2 linked regions of the Arabidopsis thaliana genome follow. The protein of the gene in region 2 interacts with the protein of the main gene of each other region in a pairwise test. Each region holds a gene or a part of one and is shown on either strand. Other genes may lie near its edges.

Region 1 (4,969 bases), 1.9 Mb from region 2:
ACCAGTCTGAGCCAGGGTGACGAGGACATCAAGCAATCTTGACAACGATGGAGCAAAGTTTTGTGATGAAAAATCAGCATTTTCCGTACTGTTTGTATTTTCTCCATCATGAAACACTTCAGGGTCATCGGAACCACTATCATGATTACTGGACACAAAAATCGGATTTTTTGGCAAGGAAGATAGAACCAGGGCAAACTGAACAAGAAAGTGGTAACCGTGTGCATTACGTATGTCCTCCCGGAGCCTAACACCACCAGCCTCTACAAAGTCAAATATGAAAAAGATTAGTAGCCATAATCAGAACAGCTTTAGCTTACATGTCCACATATATAATGTGACTACTGAATGTTCTACTCTCACGCAGCATTCTTTCATACGGACATAACATATTTAGAGCTATGTAGACTACATTTACCAGGTCTGTACGATAGTTCTACACATTCAAGTAACAAGTCCACAATGCCCATAGTGTAGGCTGAGTCACCACAACTTGGATCAAATTCTTTGACAGCCATCAAGAGCACCTTTATCTGCACGAGAACTCAAAAATTTAGAATATATTTTTCAATGACTTGTTGCAATTATCATTTTGCAACACTATGCTTCTGATGAAACTAAAACATAAGCATACAACATTTAATTATAATTTGCTTCTATCCTGAAATCAACATAAGTTTCCTGATAACCACGTTCTTTATCACGGAAATCTCACATAGTTTCAACATTAGCAAAAAGAATAAACTATACCCACGGTCAGCTTAAAAGTATGCATGAGACTCAATATACTACACTCAGGCAGTCTGCATAATTCACTGGCGTACCAGATGGTGCTTGCGTATGTATCTTGCTGTGCTCCCATTGTCATTGACTAGTAGAAGTCCAAGGATCTGGAAGAGACACGAAAGGGTGCCAAATGAAAGTATAAGCATCAGATTATTCAATCCAGTTTTAATTTGTCCATCTAGAAAGCCGTTCACGGAATTTTTCCATTTCATAGCATGATGCTCTAAAATAGATGCGCAAAAATTACCTGCATTGCATGTCTGTGAAGTTGTATGTTATGGAGGGGAACTAGACCTTCTTTATACTGAGAAAAAACTGTAATGGAGCCATTGGCAACCATATTGAAAAGCGACTCAAGAGAGTCATCTTCAATCAAACTCTGAGCAGCAGAAGGATTGCTTGCTAATGCTTTCATGATATGAACAACACTACCCTCCACCTACACGAATGAAGGGGCACAAAGTATTTATTATTTATTAAGCTGATAAAGCATTTGTGTAATATAAACTTGGTTGTCATATGTAGCTCAAAACAATGTCGAATAACATATCTAATCGTATTATGATTTGGAAAAAAAACAATTGAAACAGAACCTCAAGTCGTCTAGTCTGGAGAACTATGTATCCAGCATCTTTTTCCGCTGATACAACTTCTAAGTCACCAGTTATTTTACTTTTGCTTAGTTCATCATATGCTAGAAGTGCAATGAGAACGTGTATTAGACAACAGAATATCCCAGAATCCAGTAGTGATTGTTTGTCGATAGGCTGAAAAGAACACATAAGAGGCAACACAATATAAGGCATAAAACCATCAAAGAGTAAGGATCCTGGACGATAAGAAATTGAGCTTTGCAAGATTTTATGGAGTGAGTAAGATGAAAGACACAGGAAAAAGTCGAAAATGTACCCCAGATACAAGTACTTCAACAGCAGTTAAGAGGTTTGCACCAGGACTAAATCCCTCCTGTAGGAAGAAACCATGGATTAAAAATAGAGAAGAGAGGGTGACATGTCAAGATGCACATTCAGAAAGAAAAGGCAAACCTTGGTGACATCTGAAAAGAACCTTAATACTTTCTCTACATTCAGTGACCTTGTCTTGCTGCCGATCTTCAACTTTTCAATATCTGTCACAAATGCTCTCCCAATGACAAAGGAGAATATATGTGTTTCTACTAACCTGCGATTAAAATAAATTTCTCAAATTGGTGATTATACCATGTCTGACCTACAAGGATAAAATATGAGGTATGGAAGAAGACTAGCTAGACAGGGGAGAACATACAGGTTGAGAAACGCATTTTCCACCATAAAAATCCAAATCATGTGACAACAAACGCCAATTCAATGTATATCCAACCAAAAAGGGAAAACGAGTTAGGAATAGCTTACATAGTAACTAACTGATCTACATTAGCGTGCCGCTTCACTAATCTACAAAATATATCGACGGTCAAATTCAAGGCGGCCTCCTTCTCCTGCATGACATATGAACGATTAGCACTAATAAATTTCTAGCCTTTTGTAAGCCCATCCAGTGTAGAAAATACAAGAAGAGATATTGTTCCAAGAATAAAGGTAAGGCGTTCACTAACGCATGTGCAAGAGTATGGATTATCAAAGTAAGTACCTTTTCAGAACTAGATGAACGAAACTCTTCCCATAATCTCTTGAAGTCCAGCTCCAACTCATGGTTATCTCTGCTTTGGAGAGGAGTAAAGAGAGGATCAACAATAGTTTTACAACAACAACAAGAGCGATCAGTCAACAAAATTAGAGAATCCAATTGAAAAGTGTTGCAGCTTCAAAGACTATATTTTTGTTTCAATTGAGTTAGCAGCAGCCTTTGACTCTCATTTATCAATCTTATCACAAAAAACGTAGCACCACAAATGTTGCAATAAAGCAATCTAAAAGAAACTTGGTTGGTGTCGATCACTAATAAAGCAATCTAAACTCTGGTCCCCAAACAAACATAAAAAAGCAAAGCTATAACTAGCAGCAACGATGCGCAACATCGGAACAAGATGAAGCAAAAGCAGAAGAGAAAAGAAGAAGAAATTACCTTGAAGGAGAGAAGTTGAAGTGATGAAGAGAAGAAGAGGAGGGGTAAGTAAAAGAAGGAGAAGAGGAAGAAGAAGAAGAAGAGGGCGGAGCAGTTAGGTCAACGGGAAAGGGGTCGGAGTCAGAGGATTGAGCTAATCCAACCTTCTCCTTGATGTCCTTAAGCAATGTTGCCCATTTCATCGTTGTGCTTTTCGATCCCAGAAACTTTCATCCGATGAAGACGACGACCTCACCAGACCAGACCAGACCCTGACTCGGTCTCCAAACACGACCCACCTCAGATCCGAGTCGTCGATCAGATAAATAAAATCAACCCTAAAAATGCGATCAACCCAAAACTCTCATTCGTTCACAAGAAGGAAACAAAACACACAATCCTTAAATTGAGGAATTCAAATTAAAGAAAGAAAGAAGAAGGAGACCCAAAAAGGAAAAAAATAGTCTTTTTTTTTTAAGATCAAATTGAGCTGATACAATGTGACGAATTAGGGTTTCGTAGCAAGAAGAAAGATCTAAGATCCAAAATTTTCAATTTGTGAACCCCTAAACACTTGAAAAAATCCCCTTTTTTCCTTCCACGAGAATGAGCAAAAACCCAAATTTTGACAAAAAGGGAAGAAAAAGAGCTTAGCGGAAAAACGCGATTTTGTTTTTGTTTTTTTTTTCCTTAAAGAAAATTTAAATTAAATCAAATCTCCTTCTCTCTCTTTTTTCTTCCTTCTTTCTTTGTTTTTTTTTTCTGTTCTGGTGTTGTTGACGGCGTCGTCTCTCTCCGCGCCTTGTTTCTCGCTCAAGTCGTCTCACTTTCTCTCTCTAAAACACGATACTGTTTGTTTCTCCTTCGTAAATTATTTCCAATTTTATTACTTTATTAGCCCTTGAAATTTTGTTTTATACTATTTTATAACCACTACAATATTTCATTACCATTTTGACCCCCAAATTAGTCTTGCATCGCAAACCCCACAGCTAAATTTTGTAGACCAAAACAATGGCGCATATAAAATTATCAACTAGGGACACTTGAATACCTTTGACATTTCGTTCGTGAAAGTAACAAAGGTTGACTCTATCTTCTCTATCATTTTATATAATTGTTTGAGTTAGTTTATATACAAATGGTCAAATAAGGATGTTTTAGAGATACACATTAGGATATTATTTTGTTTTATTATATTTTTAATAAAATAAATTCCATATGGATAGGGAAAAAAAAACATTGCTACTTTTGAATTTTTACAATAGACTTAACTCATACTTAAAATTAAAGTTAATTTTTACCTTTCTTAGTTTTTACTTTTAAGCCTATACATAGTATATATATTTACCTCATGCCAAAATAATAAATAAATTTATTTAGCATACAGTTTAGGTTCTTTTTGTAATACGAGAGCCAACACAACATAAAAAGAATTTGTAAACCATATTTGTGAAAAGTTATTATCTAGTGAGCACAATATCAACAGAAATTAGAAAAATTAACGGCAATATGGATCTGGATGAAGGTTTTGAAACAAACGAGACCTAAATTATAATTATTAAGAAAAACAAGGGCCAATGTAGTTTCTAGGTTCACGTCTACAATCGCAAGTAGAGCCCACGGGACGAGAATGCCACGTGTTCGTATAGGTTTGCTGAACGATTGCGAAACGTGATCCCCTCTTTGCAAAATTTAAACACTTTTTGGACCAAAACTTTTATGTCTTTTTAATAATAATACGAAACATATTTAAATTCATATTTAATTTATATATGAATTTCTTAAAAATATAACTATGTCATTGTGAGAAAATTCTAACATATATTTATCTATCTATCAAAATGCAGAGGTCGCGTATGTTAAACAAACAATAAACCTTATAGTACTGGTGGTAAATAGTCATCAACCAAAAGTAGAACATCTGATGATAAAGAGACGATATATTTTCAGAAAAAAATTAAAGATAGAACTTGGTCCGAATTCTGCTTCTAAAACAATTTTCCAACAATTATTATAGTATTTCATTTGTCTGATTCATGTCATATCTAAACACCAATATTTGTATGTGACGACTATAATCATTTAGGACTAAGTTCTAATATAGGAGTTGCCAACAAAAAAATTCCAATGGACC
Region 2 (4,987 bases):
CGATAAATGGGAAGAGCCTGACGGGTCTCTTCTTCGATAGCATCGGAACTGAGCTCGCTCACTTCCCGACTCCTCCAGCTCTCACTTCACAGTTCTGGTTGTGGTTGGTTACGTGGCACTTAGGCCTCTTCCTCTGCCTCACTTTCGGACAAATCGGATTCAAGGGCAGGACTGAAGATTACTTCTAAGGATAACTATTCTTGTTTTCGTTTGTACTATATGCTCTCTCTTGGTTATGTGTAATATTATCAATCAAAACAAAGCTTTCTTTGCTATTTGATGTTTCATTCTATATCTCGACAAGTCTTTCTTATATGATCTTGATTTTAAGAATGTCTGTCAGTCTAACTAAAGTATTAAATGTTAAAAGCGTTTCTCGAGGGAAAGCTCACAAAAGATTGGGATAATACTTCAAAACGAAACATCACAATACGTCTTTGACTTGAACCATACAAACAGTTTTTGTCTTGCAATCTCGAATCTTTTAAAAAATAGAAAAATTATCTCTCTTTCTTCTTACTCTTTCATGTTTTTTGTATTAATCTTGATGTGTATATGTTCCAATAAACTCTAAACATGCATGAAGATTTGTGAATCTAAAGTCTTTAACATGTCTTTCGACTACGAAACAAAAATTGATGAGGAAAGGTAAAAACTTGAAAGTAGATAAAATGAAAAAGTAATTCCAAGAGTTAAACAAAGGGGGCAGTGCAGTATCTTATAAGGTTCCAACAACACTTTCAGAGGGAACAAAACTACATTTTAACTACACATTCTAGATCAAACAGCCACTATCCCACACGTAGATGCTGACCAGCGCAGCTTCATTGTTGAAGTGCATTTTGTAAAGTTCGGGTAATCTTGTCAATGAATTCATCCTCCTGTCAAAAGCAACTCGTTAGGTTTGCACAGCAGCTCAAATAAAGTGATGTGGTAAAGGACGAACCTGCAACAGGGATAAAAGGGCTTCCTTCACTTTGTCTCTGCTGATAACCGGACCAGTGGGTGCAGGAGCGAGTGATGGTGGTGGAGTTGGGGGTGGGAAAGGCTGGAGCACCGGAGTACCATATGACCGCTGCTGGTGACTCGCATTATTAGGATTGAGAGGAGGAGCAGTGGGCATAGATACACCAGGAATGAGGTGTGGCTGTGCCATCATTCGTGGGGGGCCAAAGAAAGACGGCGTCACCAAATCTGTGTGAATGTTGGAGTTGCTGCTGATAACTTCAGGGTTGTTGTCAAAGAGAGTCATCAGAGGAGAGGAGGATTGTAGAGGCGGTGGTGATTGTATCTGTGGAGGTGCTGCTGCCGCTACAGGAGGAGCAATGGTGGGTTGGTGAGGCTGGTGAGGTTGGTGAGGAATCGCTGATGATTGGTAAGGTCCACTTGCTGACCCACTCGCAGTGTTCCCAAGATTCATCGTTGACTGTCAACAATTTAGATAAATTCAGTGTTACAATTTGAGGAGTCTAAGTTGGACCATATACTACGCTGAAGATAATTCAAGAACCTAGAAGGCTAGAACTAATAGAAAGCCCTCCTGCCATTAGTCGTATAAGATGCTGTCATGGTGAAGATGATAGTGTGAGTGTGTAACAGAAGCTTTAGAAACTTACGCTAAAGAAGTTGACAAAAGCAGGATCATCAGGGGCATCCCTAGCAGTTGATGATGGTTCAAGAGGACCATCCATAACTGCCATTGTAGGCTTAGCTTCCAATTCCTCAAACTCACTGCAGTACATAGAAAATCTAACTTAATTTAACAAGTAAGAGATATAACAGCGGGAAAAATGATTTAGATTATCAAGTTTCCACCTCAAAGAAAACACATCCAAGAAACAACTAATGGTGTACTAACTAAATCTAATCATGAAAATATTACCTCTTTGAAGATGAGGCCTTTGGCTTCTGGTTAACCTTGGAATATGCACTGAGTATTCTGTCATGCCAAGGAACCATTAGGCAGAGATACAACGAGTAAGAGTAATTTCAAGTTCATACAAATATACAAGAACATTATATTTGCCAACAAGTAACTGTCTGATAATAGGCAAATAAAAGACGATATTGATATTATTCATGATCCAACAATTGAAACCAACAGTTTCTACCTGATATGCAGTGACTTATATATACATACCTGTTGAAAAGAGTTGCTACCTCCTCGCATTCACGTTTATTGTAGAACCAAATGCCATTTACTTCTTGAGATGCATTACGGTAAAGTAAATATGGACCTTGTACTTCATACTCAAAATCTCCCAGGAGATTCTCCACCAGATTATCTATCCAGACAAATACAGCAACACACTGATGATTACTAATACTGAATCCTTAAATAAGAACTTGCAATATATTACTAAATCTAAACCTTTTCTAGACACATGACACACACCAACTTTATTTGAATAAATCCTGACCTGTATTACGACGATTCATCACAATAAACTGAAATCGAGGTTGTGTACTTCTGAAAGAAACAAAAAAAAGGATCCAATCAGATTTGAGAAGACGATTAAAGATAAGATACACATAGTTAAAGATCGAAAGTAGTAACCTTTTGACAACAAACAAAGATCCTTCAACGTCCTTACGACTCTGAATGACAAAAGACAGATCAATCATTAGGTAGGGAAGCAAACATCAAATTATGTAATCGAAGATTGATTGAGACTAACCCATTGGCTGAGCTCAATGTTGAATTCATAGAAAGTGACATGAGCGGCTGTGATGAGGATTTCCTCGATGTATGGATCGATCCGCTGGAGAACTGTGAGATTGAGGAGCCTCGTACTGTTTTGGTCCAGATTTGGGATTATCTTCCCGTTTTGAGACATCTTTTATAAATCAAAGATCAGAATTTTGGGAAATCTGGATTCGATTTTACCCTAATCGGAAGAACCCTAGAATTCTGATTTAAGGTAGCTGAGAGATTTGGGGACGGAGACGAAAACGCTAACTTTTGGAACGCACTTCGCTATTTTGTTGTCTGCTTTGGCAAAAAAAAATGGTAATTTAGTTATAAAACTTAAGAGAATAAATATACTGACCATAAAAGCATTAGAGTTTGCTTCAAAAATACATCATTAGAGCTTGCTTAAGAGATTATAAACAACATTAAAGAAGAATATTTATTCAATTGGAGTATAATCAGTGGGTTGATCCTTTTAATTCAAAGATCAATTACTGCATAGTCAATAGAATTTGGTTATGGAACAGTCCACGAGGACAATTTTCAAATTGAAAACGAAAATTTCTGTTTTTATTCACATCTGTGGATTGATTCGTCTTTGAAATAAGCACATCTAATTCAAAGATAATATAAGCTACAAAATCCATTAACCAAAATCACTGCAGTTATTTCAAATTATCCAAACCAAAAGCTAAAGAGGAGAGTAGCAGCACAACTCTTACACTGTTTAACAGATATGTCTGAAACAAAAACGAAAGGGTAAGAAGAAGTGTCTTATAGCCACCAATTTTAAGTAGGTGAAAGCTCAGAAGATTCTTTGTGGTGGTCCCATTGTGCTCTTGAGGTACAAACACCTGACATTTTGCCAGTTCTTCTTCAATAGCGAGACGAGGAAGTTGACGCTCATCTGCACATTCTGAAAGATCTGCTTCTCTTCCATTGAAAGGTTACCAACTGCAACTCCCATGCACAGAACCTTCTTCAGCTGGAACTTCACTGTTGCCTTTGTTTCATTCACCTTTGACTCCAAGGATTCCTGGTGGCTCACAAGAGTTGGGAATTTTCCTGTGTAAAGTAAAGCAAAGGAATGTTACTTAAGAATCATCAAAGAAGCATAATCTCACAGGATAAAGGATTGGCATTGTATCAAAAAGACATTGACAAAAGAAATAGACTACTAAAACCTATCCAAAATCAAAACGGATGTAAAGAAGAACAATGGAATATTAGCTGTAGCCAGAACTTGCCTGCCTTGTTAAGACCAGGACCAAGAAGACGAGGAATCTGCTTAATGACAGACTCAGAGGCCAAGAAAGCATGGTATTTCTTTGCAAGCTTCTTGACGAGTTTCTTGTTCTTGTTAAGCTTTTTTAGAGACTCAACATCCATGTTTTCCAACCCCATCTTCTCAGCCTACGAAAAGATACAAGATGAAATAAGCAAATATTTAATTATGCAAGAAATGAAGCCTAAATAAACAATGACCAAATTCCGAAAACATCATGCATCTACATTCAGAAGACATATACAACATCAAATGAAACTAATAGAGCCACCAAATGAAATGAGCACAAAACCATTATACAAGAAACAGAGCACAAAATGATCAATTTCCATGAAAAGATATATCACCTCTTCAACATGCTGGGCATCTCCGAGCATGCAGATCTTCATTTTAGGACGGGGGATATGTGGTAACTTGACAGATCCACTGAAACGCTTGTCCTTTTGAGGGTCATAGTTCTTCAGACCGATCTGGAGCTCAATAGTCTCGACAAAGTTACGTTTCTTTGCCTCGGATTTCCCTGTGATAGTAGTGATGGCTTCACGAACGGCCTCACTCTGAAGCTTACTGTATTAACCCACAAAGAACAGAGTTAAGCAAATTAACTAAACAAACAAAAATACACAACATTGACAACCTCAACATGAACAACCCACATTATAGACACTACCATACAAAATAATCTTATCTTAATACACCTAAATTTTTATGAGGCAAGATTTAGATTTGTCATCCAAATTTAGAGGCCTTAGTAAAGAGCATTTATGCAAAACTGCAGAACAACTTCGTGTCAATCCTAGACTATTAACATCATAAAGCTATCAATAACGCACATCCAAAAAACAATCACGATTCAGAGACGTATTGTTCTCTAATTAAACTTATTGCATATGACAGAAGAACAATACGTCTCTGAATCACGATTCAGAGACGTATTGTTCTCTAATTAAACAGTGAATGTAAGAGATGCGTCAAGTACCTCATTTTGAGCTTGTCTCAATTTAGCTAAG

What was found. The genes of interacting proteins can lie anywhere in the genome.
Region 1: the proteins of DCP1 (region 2) and SPI interact in a two-hybrid assay, tested with the Arabidopsis thaliana proteins (one study listed by BioGRID).

What each region holds. Positions count from the first base shown.
Region 1 is NC_003070.9:723,857-728,825, forward strand, and holds the start of SPI (BEACH-DOMAIN HOMOLOG A1), read right to left. Parts: upstream 3,036-4,969; coding exon 2,854-3,035; intron 2,492-2,853; coding exon 2,419-2,491; intron 2,267-2,418; coding exon 2,181-2,266; intron 1,969-2,180; coding exon 1,833-1,968; intron 1,753-1,832; coding exon 1,696-1,752; intron 1,554-1,695; coding exon 1,380-1,553; intron 1,226-1,379; coding exon 1,034-1,225; intron 891-1,033; coding exon 825-890; intron 534-824; coding exon 419-533; intron 264-418; coding exon 1-263. UniProt on the Arabidopsis thaliana protein: Involved in cell morphogenesis. May have a function in membrane fusion or membrane composition. Required for salt stress tolerance.
Region 2 is NC_003070.9:2,636,205-2,641,191, reverse strand, and holds DCP1 (decapping 1), read right to left. Parts: upstream 3,156-4,987; 5' UTR 2,838-3,155; coding exon 2,679-2,837; intron 2,599-2,678; coding exon 2,558-2,598; intron 2,471-2,557; coding exon 2,421-2,470; intron 2,286-2,420; coding exon 2,141-2,285; intron 1,940-2,140; coding exon 1,883-1,939; intron 1,732-1,882; coding exon 1,617-1,731; intron 1,427-1,616; coding exon 947-1,426; intron 882-946; coding exon 825-881; 3' UTR 529-824; downstream 1-528. Other genes in the region: PSAO (photosystem I subunit O), read left to right, coding at 1-188; AT1G08360 (Ribosomal protein L1p/L10e family), read right to left, coding at 3,498-3,757, 3,940-4,105, 4,325-4,544, 4,957-4,961.